Linked DNA regions of Struthio camelus. Each later gene encodes a partner of the first gene's protein in a complex. Links are inferred from orthologs where the notes say so. Each region holds a gene or a part of one and is shown on either strand. Other genes may lie near its edges.

Evidence for each region. Proteins that work in one complex are often made in the same cells at the same time.
Region 2: CDK9 (region 1) and EAF1 share a complex: the UniProt entries of both Homo sapiens proteins name them as parts of the super elongation complex. The link is inferred for Struthio camelus from reciprocal best matches to the Homo sapiens genes CDK9 and EAF1.

Annotation. Positions count from the first base shown.
Region 1 is NC_090961.1:7,655,759-7,662,716, forward strand, and holds the start of CDK9 (cyclin-dependent kinase 9), read left to right. Parts: upstream 1-3,954; 5' UTR 3,955-4,031; coding exon 4,032-4,123; intron 4,124-5,159; coding exon 5,160-5,241; intron 5,242-6,353; coding exon 6,354-6,444; intron 6,445-6,958. Other genes in the region: SH2D3C (SH2 domain-containing protein 3C), read right to left, coding at 774-1,404, 2,879-2,918. UniProt on the Homo sapiens protein: Protein kinase involved in the regulation of transcription.
Region 2 is NC_090943.1:48,872,253-48,879,790, reverse strand, and holds the start of EAF1 (ELL-associated factor 1), read left to right. Parts: upstream 1-4,526; 5' UTR 4,527-4,615; coding exon 4,616-4,718; intron 4,719-4,793; exon of another isoform or gene 4,794-5,159; intron 5,160-7,538. Other genes in the region: SH3BP5 (SH3 domain-binding protein 5), read right to left, coding at 1,799-1,933, 2,586-2,867. UniProt on the Homo sapiens protein: Acts as a transcriptional transactivator of ELL and ELL2 elongation activities.

The sequences.
Region 1 (6,958 bases):
TCCCCACACACCTCCAAGCCCAGATGCCCAGGTGATGGGCAGGGTGTTAAAACTGAACCTGAGGGCGAAACCCTCCCGTCTCGGAGACACGCTGAGCCCCAGCGCCCTCCATCCTGCTCCTCTTTCCACACTCGTGCTTTGCCCCGGCGCGGTGGCAGGTCCCGGCTCCGTGGGGGGAGTTCCCCCTTCTCGCAAAGCCCGGGGGCCAAAGGCTGCCACGGAGAGCCCGGGCGGCGAGGAGGGCGCCCGCGCCTGCGGGGATGCCTCCTCCTCGGCCTGAGCTGCAGAGCGGGTTTTAGGGCCGGGCAGAGAAGTGGGAACGGGCGGGTGGTTTCTGGGGATCGCTCCCGTGCCGCTCGCCGGGGAAGAAGGACGGCAGGAAGGAAAAAGAGCAGAACGAGATGGAGGGAGAACGGAGGGGGCAAATCGGAGCTCTCCGCGCTGGTACGTGCCGCGAGCAGACGCGCGGCGAAACCGGAGCTGGAAGGGAGCCGCCAGCGAGACAACGGGAAGCCCAGACCAAGCGAGGCGGCGAGATGTTTCCCCCCCGGCCGGAAACAGGCGGGAGCAGAAATCCCACAGGAAACTTTGTTCTCATGGAGCCTCCGACCCCGGGGCCGGCACGTCTGCCAGGTGCATCCCGCGGGCAGCGCGCGCGACAGGGGGCCGGGGGCCGTCCGCGCTCCCCCCGCGGCGGCTCCAACCCTGCCGATCCCCCCGCGCCTGCCCGGCGCCGGCCCCGCGCTGAGAGCCGGCAGCTGAGCGAGCCTTACCTGCGCGGGGCGCTCTCGCCGGGATGCTCTCGCCCCTTTTCCAGCAGGCGCCCGCCGGCGGTCTCCGCTCCAGGGGCCGCGCCGGGGGTCGGGGCCGGGCTGGGGGTCGGCGCCGCCGGCCCGAGCTGGGAGACGCTCCCCAAAAGCTCCGGCGTGCAGCCGGCCGTGGCTGCCCCCGGCATGCCCGAGGGCGCAGCCTCTTCCTCCTCCTGCTGCTCCGCTTTCCCGGCTGCTGGGCACGGCTCCGTGCCGGGGGCGCTGGGCGTCTCGGGGCGCTCGGGGATGGGGATTGGGGCCGTGGCGGGGATTTTGCTGCCCGCGGTGCCTTTCCCGCGGCAGCTCTGGGAGCTCTTGGCCTTGGCCGGGCTCTTCGCCGCCTTGCCCACGCTCAGCCTGGGCATGGTGCCCATGTGGCTGTACATGTCCGACGACCTGGCGTAGGGGCTGGGGCTCTTGGGCATCGCGTGCAGATCATCCCGGGTGCTGTCGAAGGGCTCCTCCAGGAAGCCGTGGGCGGCGGGGAGCCCCGGGCCCAGGCTCTCGGGGGAGCTGGGGGCCACGGAGACGCGCCGCAGCGTCAAGGTTCGGGGGATGCTGCTCAGGCTCCCGAAGCCCTTGAACTTGAAGAACTCTGGCACGGAGAGAGGAGAGGTGGGAAGGGGGTTAGTGCCGGCACGGGGCGGCGGGGGGTCCCGGACAGAGCCGGCCCTCCCTGGCTGCGCCGCTCCCCGGCACCCGCAGCCCCCTCCCCGAGCCCGGCCCCCAGGCTGTGCCCGCCGGCGTCCCCCGGCCACGGCGCAGCCTCCCCCCCCGGCGCGTGGGGGCGATGCTGCCCGCGGGCGCGGGTCCATCCCCTGGCGGCGGGCCGCGGCTGGGGCCGGCTCGGGGCCCCGCGGCGCAGCGGATACCCGCGCCGCTTCCTCGGCCGAGCGCGGGCGTGCACACGCGCCTCTCGCCGCCTCTCTTGCGGCTGCCGGCAGCCACCTGCAAGAGCCGAGCGCGGAGCCGGAGATGTATTTATAACCGCGGCGGGCTGCCTTTGCATTTCATACCTCGGCGCCGCGGGCCGGCGCGCTGCAACGCCGCGGGCGGCCCCGGCCTGCGGGCTGGGGGCCCTCCGCGCGCCGGCGCCTGGGGGAGCCAGGGCAGCAGGAGGCCCCGTGGGCGCACGGGGCTGCATTCCCCGCTGCAGCTTTGCTGGGCCGGGGCGGGGTTTACACCCGGAGCCCTGGTTTTTCGGGTGCCTCTGGGGGTTTTGCAATGTTTAGCTGGCAGAGCTCTGCAAAGCCTCTTCCCCTCCAGGAAAGCCGAATTTGTCAAGACAGGAAGCCATAAGCGGCAGCAGAGCTGCGCGGGGAGCCCAGGTGCACGGGGGACCCGCGGGGCCGTGGGAGCCGCGCCGCGGCCTCCGTCGCCCTGCGCGTGCCCCTGCCCCAGCGCCGGGGGGGGAAAGGGGGCACGAGAGGCCGTGCCAACCCGAGCACGTGGAGCCGGCAGGAAGGCAGAGAGCCGCGGCGAGGGGAAGGCGGCGCGGGGGGCCGGCGGCCTGACGGCCCCGCTGGAGCCGCCTCCGAGGGCTTCGGGGACAACCCGCGGTCTGTGAGGAAGAGCAGAGTTCGTTCCCGGAGGGCACCGAGCCGCTTCCTGCGAGAGCGTTTCGGCCCCGTGCGCGGTGCCAGGTGGGATCCTTGCTAAATCCGCGAGAATTCGCCCCCGGCCGCCGAAACCTGGCTCGTCTGCTCTCCCCCTCCGGCCGGCGCACCCGCACCCCTGCTCCCGGCGGGAAATATTCCCAGGGAGACGCGATCTGCAGAGGGAAAACCCCCGGCGGCATGGGGGACCGGCGCCCGGCTCGCCCCCACCGCGTCCCGGTGCGGGGCTGGCCGGTGGCGGGCTGGTCCCCGTCCCAGCACCCCGTTGCTGGGCGAGCAGCCCTTGGGGTCGCCCTCCACCGTGGCGAGGGCGAAATCCCCCAAATCTTCTCACCCCCACCCCGAGCCCGAACGAAAGCAGAGCCCGCGGGAGCCACGTCCTCGCCCGCGTCCCCTGCCCCTGCCGGGCCGCCCAGGCGAGCAACCCCGCCGCTCCTCCCCACCGCCGCTTACTGAATTTCTTGAAGCCCCCTCGTTTCTGGCTCTCGGCCATGGCGGCGGCGGTGGCGGCGGGGACCGGCAGGGATAAGTTTATAAACTTCAAGCCCTTCCTTGCCCCGCTCCTCCCTTCCTGCCCCCTCCGCCTCGCGCTCGCTCCGCGCTTCCTCCCGCCCGCCCGCCCGCCCGCCGTCGCCCGCTCCCGGCCCCCACGCGGCCGCCCAAAAAAGCCCCCGGGCGAGGACGCCGGCCCCGCGGGGGCAGAGCGCAGCCCCTGCCCTCGCCCGGTCCCCCCCGGCTGGTGGCCGGCGTCAGCGGCGTCGCCGCCAGCGGCAGTCCCCGTTCCCGTCCCCCCCCACCCCGGCCTGGGGGACCTTCGGGTGCCCCCGCCGGGGACGCGCAGCCTTTTTCCGCGCAGGGCAGGGCGGCCCCCGGCCTGGCAGGGAGCCTTGTCCCGGCTTTCCGCCTCTCTCCAGGAGGCGGCACGCGGATCCTGCCGCGCGGCACGCCGGGAGCCATCTCTGCGTCTCCGCTGCCGTCCGGCCCGGATGCTTCCTGTTGCGCCTCTCCGCCTTCGGCAGCCGTTTTAAATAACCCTGGGATAACGTGTTCGGCCCCCGACCCAGGGCATCGCCCCGGGCAGAGGGATCGTGAGCCCCGCCGCGTGCTGAGGCCGGGGGGAAGGACGGCCCTTCGGCGAGGGATAAGGACGCTGGCAACGGCTGGGTGTCTTCGGCGCGTCAGGCAACGGCTGGGTGTCTTCGGCGCGTCAGGCCAGGCTGACGCAAAACCACCCGCTGGAAAACACCCGCAGGGAGGACGAGGGCGATCCGCTGCCGCCGCCGCCCCCGGGGCCAGGGTGCCCCGCACGCGCCCGCGACTTTGTCAGCAGCATGGCCCCCGTCTTCGGGGAGACGTGATGGGAGGGGAAGCGGCCGAGCGCTGTGAGGGAGAAGCCCCGCAGTGGGCTGGGCTGGGCAGGGCTGGGCTGCTTGGGTGTGACTCTCTAGGGAAGGAGGCGGCTGCTAGGCCTCGCCGCCAACATGGCCGCCCCCAGCGGACTACAAGTCCCAGAGGCCCGCGCGGCGGCGGCGGGCGGAAGGGGCGTGGCCTCCGGCAGACCGGAAGCGGAAGCGGGAGGGGAGCGGAGCGGAGCGGGGCGGCCGGCATGGCCAAGCAGTACGACATGGTGGAGTGCCCCTTCTGCGACGAGGTGTCCAAGTACGAGAAGCTGGCCAAGATCGGGCAGGGCACCTTCGGGTGAGCGCCGCCGCCCTCCGACGCCGGGTCCTGCCTTCCTCTTCGCGGCCTGTTCGCCTGCTCCGCGCCGGCGTCAGCCTCGGGCCTGCGGGTCCCGGCCGCGGCCCCTTCCCCGCCCCCCGGGACCGGCCTCTTCGCCTCCCCTCCCCCACGTTAGGACTGGCGCTTTAGTCCCCTTGGGACCAGCCCCCCCCCCCCCGGACCGGCTCTCTTCTCCCGGCCTGTCCCCTGCTCTCCTCCTCACCCTGGGCCTCATCTCTTCCCCCCCCCCCCCCAATTCTTCTCCCCCTGGCCCCGCGCAGGGCTGTGCAGCCTCCCCCCCTCCCTCCCCGGTTCTGGGGTCAGAGCTGCTGCCTCTGCTCCCCTCTGCAGCCCAATTGCTCTGGGTGGCAGGGCCTTTCCCCTGCTCTCTCTCGGCTGAGGTGCCCCTGGGCTCTGAGTGCTCCTAGCTCGAGTGTCGTTTCCCCTGTCCCTTCTCTGGCTCCTGGGAAGCAGTGCACCCCCCTGAACCCCCTTCCTCCAGCTCCTTCTCCCACCCCAGGTCCCCTCTCTGTCCCAGGCCTGCTGGTGGCAGAGAAGAGTTGGTTTTGGAGATGCTCAGGACAGGGAGGAGCAGAGACTCTTCCCTCCTTCTGCTGTGGTGATGTTTTGAGCATCCTCCTGCAGTTTTTGAGAGAGTCCAGCCTCACACCTTATTTTTCTACCACAACATCTGAGATTCCTATTGCCTGGAGTCTGAAAAATGTCCTTGCAACATTCATCTCGTTCTCCCACTGGGCTGGGGATGTGAGACGCTTTAGCCACTGTTCTCCCGGGGGGTGTGGGAGCTGTGTGTGCCCTTGCTCTGGGCTCTGCATCGTCCCAGCCAGTCTTAGTGGCTTTTGGCCTGAAGGGCACCTGGCTGGGTTGGATGGTGGCTCAGCACAGAGCTCTCTCTGTGAAGCTATAAAGTGTTTTGTTTGGTCTCGTTCCTGGTAGGTAGCACCTGGCTCCTTCTCTTGCTGTGCTGCTCATACATCTCCTTCTGCTTTTACAGGGAAGTTTTCAAAGCAAAACATCGTCAAACAGGCAAGAAAGTAGCACTGAAGAAAGTGTTGATGGAAAATGAGAAGGAGGGGGTAAGTGTGAGGAGCACAGCTGTGCTGTATTTGGGAAAGGCCTGGAGAGCGCATAGGTGAAGGCTGATCTTTGGGATGCCAGAGATGTGTTGTCACTCTGTAGGATGTTACCACCTATTTGTACTTCTTTTGCAATATTTACTGCTGTAACGTGCTACATGTTGAACCCTTAAGGATGTGGGCAGGATCTCAGCCCTGTGGCCTGTTTTCCTCTCATACCGATGTTGTGATAACGCTGCATCTCGTGGCTGCCCTACCTCTGAAGGGTAGGTCCTGTTATCGCCTTGTTGGCCGCAAAGCTGCGCGACACCCAGTGCAGCCTAGTAGCTGTGGGGTGACTGAGCTGCTGCCAACGGCTGCTGGGAGGTGACACCTCTGTGCGCATTCATACATCTGTACGAAATCCGATCGCCCCCGGCATGCGTGGGCTTTTGCGTCGGCTGTTGTTCATGGAGGAACTGCCTGAGGTATTGACTGTCCCGGCTGTACTAGGGACTACGCAAAAAGCACATGCTGAGAGTGTGCAGAGAGATGGGGCAGGCTAGGGAGGCACTAACCGAGTAAGCAGCACGGGCTAAGGAGGCCGCTCTGTGGGTCGTGTGGGGCTGTACGCAGCATCCCGTTACAGAAACGCAAAGTGAGGAGAGGAGGGGTGTCTGCATGCTGATTTCACTCTGGCGTCACCCAAAAACCCGTGTGTCATGGCATAATTTCTCTCAGTGACGGTGGCCTGAAACACAGCATTTAGGCAGGTATCTGTCTTTTTGTCTTGTGGCATTTGTAATGCGAGGGCTGGAGAGGAAGAGCCCTGTCCTCTAGGGACTCGGTGTGCTGCGGCCTCCAGGTGCTGAGAGCAGCTGTACCCAGCAGGATCAGCCCTCTGAAACACTGTTCAGAGAACAGGATCTGGTGCAATGGGGAATATTATTATGACAATCCCAGCGTTGGCTTTCTCTTTTGAAGATCTGCTTGCCCTTAAATGACGTGTCAGGGTGCTGCTCAAGCAGGTCCCCTGCTGTGCTGCTGTGATCACATCTCTCCTCCTGTTCTCTAGGCAGCTGTGGCCTGGTCTCCTACACTCCTAATCCATGTTCTCTATTTCTCCTTTCTAGTTCCCCATCACAGCCCTGCGAGAGATTAAAATCCTCCAGCTGCTCAAACACGAGAATGTGGTGAACCTCATAGAAATCTGCAGGACCAAAGGTAGCGTGCGGTGGTGCCTCTTGTGCTGACTGCTTGCTGAAGTGGCTGTTGGCTTTCTTCTGCTGAGCAGGCTGGTGTTTTGTCGGGGGGAGCGGAGTCCTTTGGCTGAGTTCCCTCATCTCTGATTTAGGGTGACAGTAGACCCATCTTTGAACAACAGTGTTTCTGAATGAGTTAAGAGAGGATTGTGCCACAGCTTGGCTGGAATAAACTGTTGGCAGTCCTGCTAGAGTATGCCTGTGCTGCGGCAGCGCACGTACTGTGTGCTGGGAAACTCCCATTTGAGAGGCTTTAAATAAACTAGCACTGGAGAGAAGTGTGAAGCACAGGGTTTTCAGCCTGGAGCTGGTTTTGTGGCTGTGCGTAGCTGATACCCTGTCAGGAGCTGGAGCCGTCCCTCTCTGAGTTTGCATATGACACTTCTTGATAGCTTTGAGCTGGTGACACAGTGCCAGCTGGGGACTTGCTCAGCATCTCCTTTTGTGCGTGACAGCAACTGCTCATACTTTGAGGG
Region 2 (7,538 bases), on another chromosome or scaffold:
ACCCTCTGGATGGGCCCCTCTCTCCATCAACTACAAGGCAACCTAGAGTATCTCTAGGTTAACATTAGTATATATGAACAGCCCATTTCTAAATCACATAGATCAAGCGAGTTTAATAATCAAACTCCAACTGCAAGTCATTGCGTCGTCTGGAAGTGACTTTTGATGCACTTTCATTCCTATCTTACAGACACAGGCATTTCTGTAAGCTGAAAATACTCTTTGTAGTGTACAACTAGCAGCAAATTCACGGGTCCAAGATACCATTTTGTTATGCTGACGACACACGTTAAGACTAGAATCCAAACAACTCTCAAAATACCAAGAGCTAGCTAAATACTCCCAGGGAATATAGTGTTAATTAAGGATCACGATTAAAAGTAGAGTTGTTTTTTTAGAATAAAATTGTACTTTCAAGCCAAAAAGAATAAAAGTGCTTTAAAGGCTGTAAAATCAGCTGCTCGTGCCTACCTTGTAAACGTTCTTCAAGACAAGGTGCATTTTGTCAGGATGAATGGCAGAGAGCACAAATATAAGTGTGACAACATCCACAGAATCTGCTGGTATATTTTCTGTAAGATCATCTTTAGTAAGATCACACTGGAACACTTTACATCTTTCAGTACTGTATAAAGAATTTTTCTAGGGAAATGAAAAGACTATGATTTAACTGACAATTATCAGTTTTTGTTATTTTTAAAAAAAAGTCAAAAACTTGTGAAACTAATTAGTAAAGAAACATAAAGCAAGCGGCAAAAGAAGATTAGGCAACTACCACAAAATGAAATTCTTTGCTGGACACTATAATAGTGAAAAAAATGGTCTGTTCTCAGGAATTTGAGAAGGAATGTGTGTTAAGACATAATTAAAATATCACACTATTTCTGTTTTACAGCTGCTTCTACTCTTTAAAAACACAGAAATATTATTAATAGAAATTCTCTATTACAAGGGGATCAAAGCACAGCTCTTCAGCCACAAGTAGCTCGTAAACAGCTCACGCAACCTGCAGTTTGGCTGTTCTAGTCCCTTTTTTTTTTTTTCCCTGGGTGAAAGGAAACCTGGTCCTGGAAAGAAAGAAGTCCAGCCGGAGCTGTGGAGGCAAACACCACCAAGCTGACCAAAACCAAGCCTATACACTCAGTCCAACCTCATCTGGCAGTACACCCGTGGCACTCCAGGGAGTTGCTGTCACCTCCTGTTTGTGACCCACTAATGTATTTCTTCCATTGTTTGGGTGAGGTCTGCAGTACGAGTCTTGTGGTTCTCAGCCATAAATGTCCCATAAGAGAATGCTTTCTAATGAAAGATACATAAAAACCTACCTCTGATTACAAATTTAACAAACCAGTCCATTGTCCCCATAAGCCTTACTGGAAGACTTGTTTTGGATTGCAGCACTCTTTAGCTATGAGCAGGTATAAACATACCTATTTCTGATCAGTCTCCAGATTTCTTTACCAATAACTTTCATATCCCCGTTTTCAAGATTATCCTTGGGACTCCCTCTACCCCACAAAGGCAAACTTCTCTCCCCAGGAAAACATAGTCTTCACAGAACATTCAGGTGAAGTAACAAACATATACCGCTACTACAATTTGATGCTCAAAAATTAGGTCTTAAACAACGATTCAGCTTCTTTCAATGGGAGCTCCAGTGAAATGGATCTGTTCCTGTTCTTTGACAAATGCTAGTTTACTTTTCTTGAAAAAGGAAGGCAAGTCCATCACTCCAACCATGTGCAAATTCATAAGCTTCTAAAGACACTCTAAAAGAAGTACTGAATACCACACCAACCTTCACATACTCAACAGCTCTAGGAGAGAAATCACAGGCATATGCAAAAATATTCAGATCCTCTTCTAGGAGTGGAAACAAGCAGTTCCCAACCCCACAGCCTGCTTCTAGAATGGTCAGCTTCTGATCTTCAAACTGGGAAGGAAGAAATCCAAGAGGCATCACATCATTTTTGTTTTCCTCATGACACAAGCAGACACACGTTTCAATTAGCATTTTAAAAGCAATCAATTTTAACTACCATTGATTCAAGAACTGAAGAGGCATCCATCAGTAATCTAACACTACAAAACAGGAATTTTAATTTGTGCAAAATTACACGTCTTTTTAAAACTTTTAATATTTCTTTAGTCATCCACCCACTTAATTAACAGATTGTTGTACTATTGCTGTCTTGTGTCTCATCCAGATAGAATGAGCAACAGATGCATCTGACTATTCCCCTTAAGGATATTTTGCAATTAGCCTGTAGTTCTGGATGCTTTCTTTAAAACAGTGTTTTAAGTGCTGTAACTTGCGTCCTAAATAGACAACTTGTCTCTCTGTGCAGATGCAAAATAAATATTCCAGATTTGGTTCTCCATATACAATATGAAAGAATTATAAACTGAAACTAAACTGATCCTGAGGAGATATCTTTGACATTAAAAGAGACTACACTACACAAAGCACTACACACTTAAAACGTGAGAGCTCTCACCTTAATGGCTTTGTTAGAAATATTACTACATCATTTGAAAACAATGAATCATATCTCTTTACTTATAGATAGGTGTATTCAGCTCACCTCCCGACATGCTTTTAACTCTTGAAACTCTCTGGTTGTCCAGTGTCTGTCTTTGAAGAAGTTGGTGCTGTTTCTTTTGTAAAATAGATCCCAGTTCTTCTGTGCCTCTTTCTCCAATTTTAGTTGTTTGAAATCAGTCACCAAAACCTTATCTTTTGCCAGTCTCTCAGCTTCTTCGGGGCTAAGGATCCTTGCACTATGGCCTTTTTTTTGGAAAGCATCAGCTTCAGTAGATGTAATTATTAAATTTAAGCAATCGGCTGGTGGGTTTTCATGGAACATCCTAGAGTATTTCACAGAGATGTGAATACCAAAGCCCCAACAGTGATTTTTTTTTTAGCATATATATGTTTCCATCACTTAATTTTGGTAAATAACCAAGGATCTAAAAGCACAAAAGAGAAAGAGAGAGAGAGAGAGAGAGAGGGAGATAGTTAGTTTTTGTATGCACTTTCGGAGGTTTTATGGTGATCTGCCCTACATAACAGACCGCAAAACCACCAGACTTGCTTCTCTTATTTTCAGAAATCCTCCTTCAAAGCTAAGCACCAGGTAAGACACTACACTGATCTCAAAGAACACAGGGGACAAATTCTGCTGGTCTTCCACACGTATCATAGAAAACTACCCAACCAGAGAGAGATGATGCAGCTCTAAGTTTATTTGCACTAAAATCGACTAGAAAAGGAAAACACGGGCTTTGTAACTCTGGTTAGTAACACCTCAGAAAGCTCACAACTGAAAAGCAGGGGGCACACCTTTTAAGAGTCCCGTTTCAGTTGGCAAAGAAAACCATATTCACCTTAACATTTCTCCTGAGCTCGCACTCCTTCCACTGCCTCTTCCTGAGGATTCACAGCAGTTTGAACAATGACGGGTATGTTTTTTTCAGAAGTTAACAAAAATGAGGCAATAAAAACACCTTTATGGAGGCCAGGAAAGGATTCAAGTCATTTCCCTAACGTTAAACTAGCTCTGAGCTCTGCCTTGCCACAAACACCCAGACGGCGTACGTGAATTAAATCCCGCGTGACCCAGTAACTCCCCTGAAACCCCTGGCAGGCCAAAACGCGCCCATCCACGTCCATCAGTGCCCAGGACTGGGCATTCGTGCCGCTTCACAGAAACGGAAATGAGGAAAAACAACAACTTCTACCCTTCAGCAAAACAAAAAAGAACAACAACAACGAGCAGTACTTCATTCCGCTATTTTATCTTGGTTAGTACAAACGTAACAGTGCAAACACAACACACAAACGCGGGAACGGCGGGAAACGAGGAAGCGGGCCCGTTGTGCCCAGCTTCACAGGAGCCAGACCACACGCCGCTTGCCCGCAGGAAGGCTGGGAAAGGCCAACAGCGATGAGACTCCCTTGAAGAAGGAAAATCTACTAAAGACACAGGCTTTTCCTCAAAATATGTAATATTTTGATTTTTTCTTGAAGGTATATCCTCAAAGAAAGAAAGAAAAAAAACAAAAAGAGAAGTTTCAGCAGCAAAAAGGTTCTGCTGTGCGCCTGGCACGCATCAAATCAACGCGTGCGGGGTTTTTTGGGGTAAGACAAGCTAGAGAGGGGAGTGGGGGGGGGGGAAATGACCCGTTTAAATTGCCCCCTTTACGTCTGGAAAGACCCCTGTGTTAGACAGAAACCAAAGAGCTGACACGACGATAACGGTCGCCCGCCCCGCAACCCCCCCAGCAGCCGTTAGCAGCCGTTAGCACCGCGCAGCCCCCGCTCCCCCCCGCCCCACGCCGCGAGGGGCGGCCAGACCCCGCTGCGGGGGGGGGGGAGGGCGCCCCACACGGGGCCAGACCCCCTGCGTGCCCCCCCAACGGCGCCCACCTGCCCTCGGTGCCCTGTGGGGAGAGGGGACGGGACGGGACGAGACGGCTCGGCTCGGCCCCGGAGCACTTTCGCGGCTGCACTCAGGGCCCGGAAGGGCGCGGGGCGGCCGCGCACGCAGCGGGCGGAGGAGAGGAAGGGACGGGCGGCGCAGGACACGGCACGGCACGGCACGGCAGCGGGGCCATGAACGGCTCGGCGAACCCGCTACTGGACAAGGAGGAGCACCCGCTGCAGCTGGGCGAGAGCTTCGAGCGCCGGCCCAAGGCCTCCTTCCACACCATCCGCTGTGAGCGCCCCCGCCCCTTCCCGCCCGGGGTGGTGGTTGGGGGGGGACATATACATACACACACACACACGTTACCTGCCCGGCAGCTCGCCCTCCGCCGCGATACCTTCCTCCCCGGGCCCCGCCGTCCCTTCTAGCTCCTGCCGCCCTTCGCTGCCTTCCCCGAAATGGCGGGGGGGGGGGGGTGGCCAGCGCCTCCCCGACATGGCGGGGGGTGCCCGGCCCTGCCTCGGAGCCGCCCCCCCCCGCAACCCCGCTCCCGAGGCCGCCGCCTCGGCCCTGCCTCCCCGCGGGGGGGACGAGGCTCCCCTACCCCCCGTGGGGCTTGCCCCCGGCCGGCTGCCACCCCTCATGCCGCGCCGGCTTCCGACATCGTCCCTCCTCAGCGCCCGTCTCTCCCTCCTTCCCGCCCCTACTGCCCTCCTCAGCCCTCCTTCCCCCCCTCCCCAGTCCTTACCTCAGCGCCTATTCCCGCCCCTGCTGCCCCTTCAGAGTCCATCGTTCCCCCTAGAGCCCATTCCTTCCCCCTCAGCGACCTATATCCTCTCTTCCCTGCCCCCCCCCCCCAACTAGCCCCCGTGTCCCCCCCAGGGCCCGTTTTCGCCCTCTGGCTCTGTGGCTGCAGCCCGAGCAGCGAGGGGGCAGGGGGAGGGCAACGGAGAGCCGGCCAGGGCTGCGCTGGAAGCGTTTACAAACAGACGTGCTGGGAGAGCGGGTCTCCTCGCGCGGCCCCCTCTAGTAGAGCAAAAGTGTGAACGAGGCAGACTGCAGAAGACAAAGGGGCTCTGGAGTTGTTCGTGAAGTGCACGTGAATCGTTTAAGAGCATAAAGCCTCCTCCTCCTCAAAGGGAAGGCTTTCCATTTTCTTATGGGCCTGGTGTTACAGGTCACCACAGGCCCTGGTCTGGCTTCTTCTGGGTGGGCAGGAGTGTCGGGAAAGGAGTACAGCTTGTCTGCAGCCGATTCAATTTAACTGATTGTTGCCGTAATGAGGCACCATGTAACCCAGCAACTTTTTCCCCGGCTCTGTTGACTCTCAAGGTCTATTGTAAGTCACTTTCCAGGAAGGCAAGCAGAAATGATTCCAACGCATGCAGTATTGCCTAACAAGTGGTAATAAGCATAAGATAAATGCTGAGGCAAGGTCTCGAGCAGTAATTTTGCTTTGGAGGAGCTGGAAAAATGTATTTTTCTAAGACACCAAACGTCTTTTTCAACTGCTGTTTTCTAGCGTGGAATACATTTTATATCATATTAGAGGATCTCCTCCTGGAAGAGGAGATCACCTGTATCTCTGTATTTGAATGCTGTAGACAAGAAATTGCTTTTTCATTTTCATTACTTTTTCTAAACATTTAAAATTAGTAGTTAATCAGCAACAGGAGACGAGAATTATAGTGAAACTGTATTTTAGTATCTTTGTATTAGTGTGGAGAATTTATACTATTAACAGCAGGATTTTTTGTTGTATGATGTATACTCCTAGGCCTGGTTTCATAGCCTGCTTTCATACACTATGAGTAAATAATTTCAGTGAGATTAGTCACCTGAGTGAGGCTTGAAAGAACAATTTTCTAGACTGAGCTATTATCCAAGCAGAGGATCAGTGTTTACAGAGAAGCTGTTTCCCTAGATAGTAAACTCTCTCCCGCAGATTAACACTTAAGTTTTGTGTGGTTCACCCCTCTATTACACTTACATAACCCCATGATGCTAAAGAAGGCCGTAGCATGTGTGTGATATATTTTACTGTTTATTCATAATACCATTAGTTTTATTCAGCACTGGCACAGTAGTAAATCTTCACTTATAAATCAAAGTTTTAAAATAGCCCAACCATCAAACAAATGAGGTTGCTGTCTGATAGCATATGAATTAAACCTAGGTCATGTCCAGATAATACTTTGGATTTCTAGGACTGAAGGGTCTTCAGTAATCAATTTCTTAAGGGACTGCAAAGCCAGAACACTTCAGACTACAACCGGAAAAATCCAGTTTTATTTTCAAAGAGCTTTCTGTGTGCTGTATTTGTAGTCAGTGACTTTCAAGTGAGATCTCTTTCGCTTTGCTGATTATAACTTTTTCTTCTAACTCTTGATTTTAAATGATTAGTCTAGGATCTGAGCATCATAGTGTTCCCCTAATCCTCTTCATACAAACTACAGTAAGAGGATTTTGCAGGCTAAATTTGTCTCTTGCTCCTTAAAATACCTCATCTTTTTCTGCAATGTTTATGAAATTCCGAACTGAAAAACTGGATTATCCATGGAAAACACATCTAAAGAAACTTGACTTTTGGAAAAAGGACTGCAGCTACGTTTAGGTGGACATGTTTGCCCTCCGTCTACAGGAAAATTAGCCAAGTAGATACAAAAAGAAAACAATTTATTGTTTGAGTGTTTGCTTGGAATAACTCTATATTTTGTTAATATCCAAGAAAGAAGCACGTTAGTGATATTTTGCTTTTCATTTAGTGACTGCGCTGTTGAAAGTTGTGATCCCTTTTTGGCAAAGACCCTAGCCTTTCTACAGCGAGCTTATGTTCTATTTAGCAAACTTGCACATGAAGTAGATGGGAAACAATAGCTAGAAATAGATTGGTCAGATGAAAACCAAGGATATGATTTGGTCTGGCAGTTAAGGCATGAGGATTAAGTCAAGTGTGCCTGATTTTGCTTGTTGTGCTGTCAAAGTAAAACTCAATTAGACATTAATGTCCTCCTAATGAGAATTTGCTACAAAGCTGTTTTTTTCCTGCAAACGTGCTTTTCCTAGTGGAATTACATTTTAAATTTGTTCTGAGATGTTAGTGTCTTAACT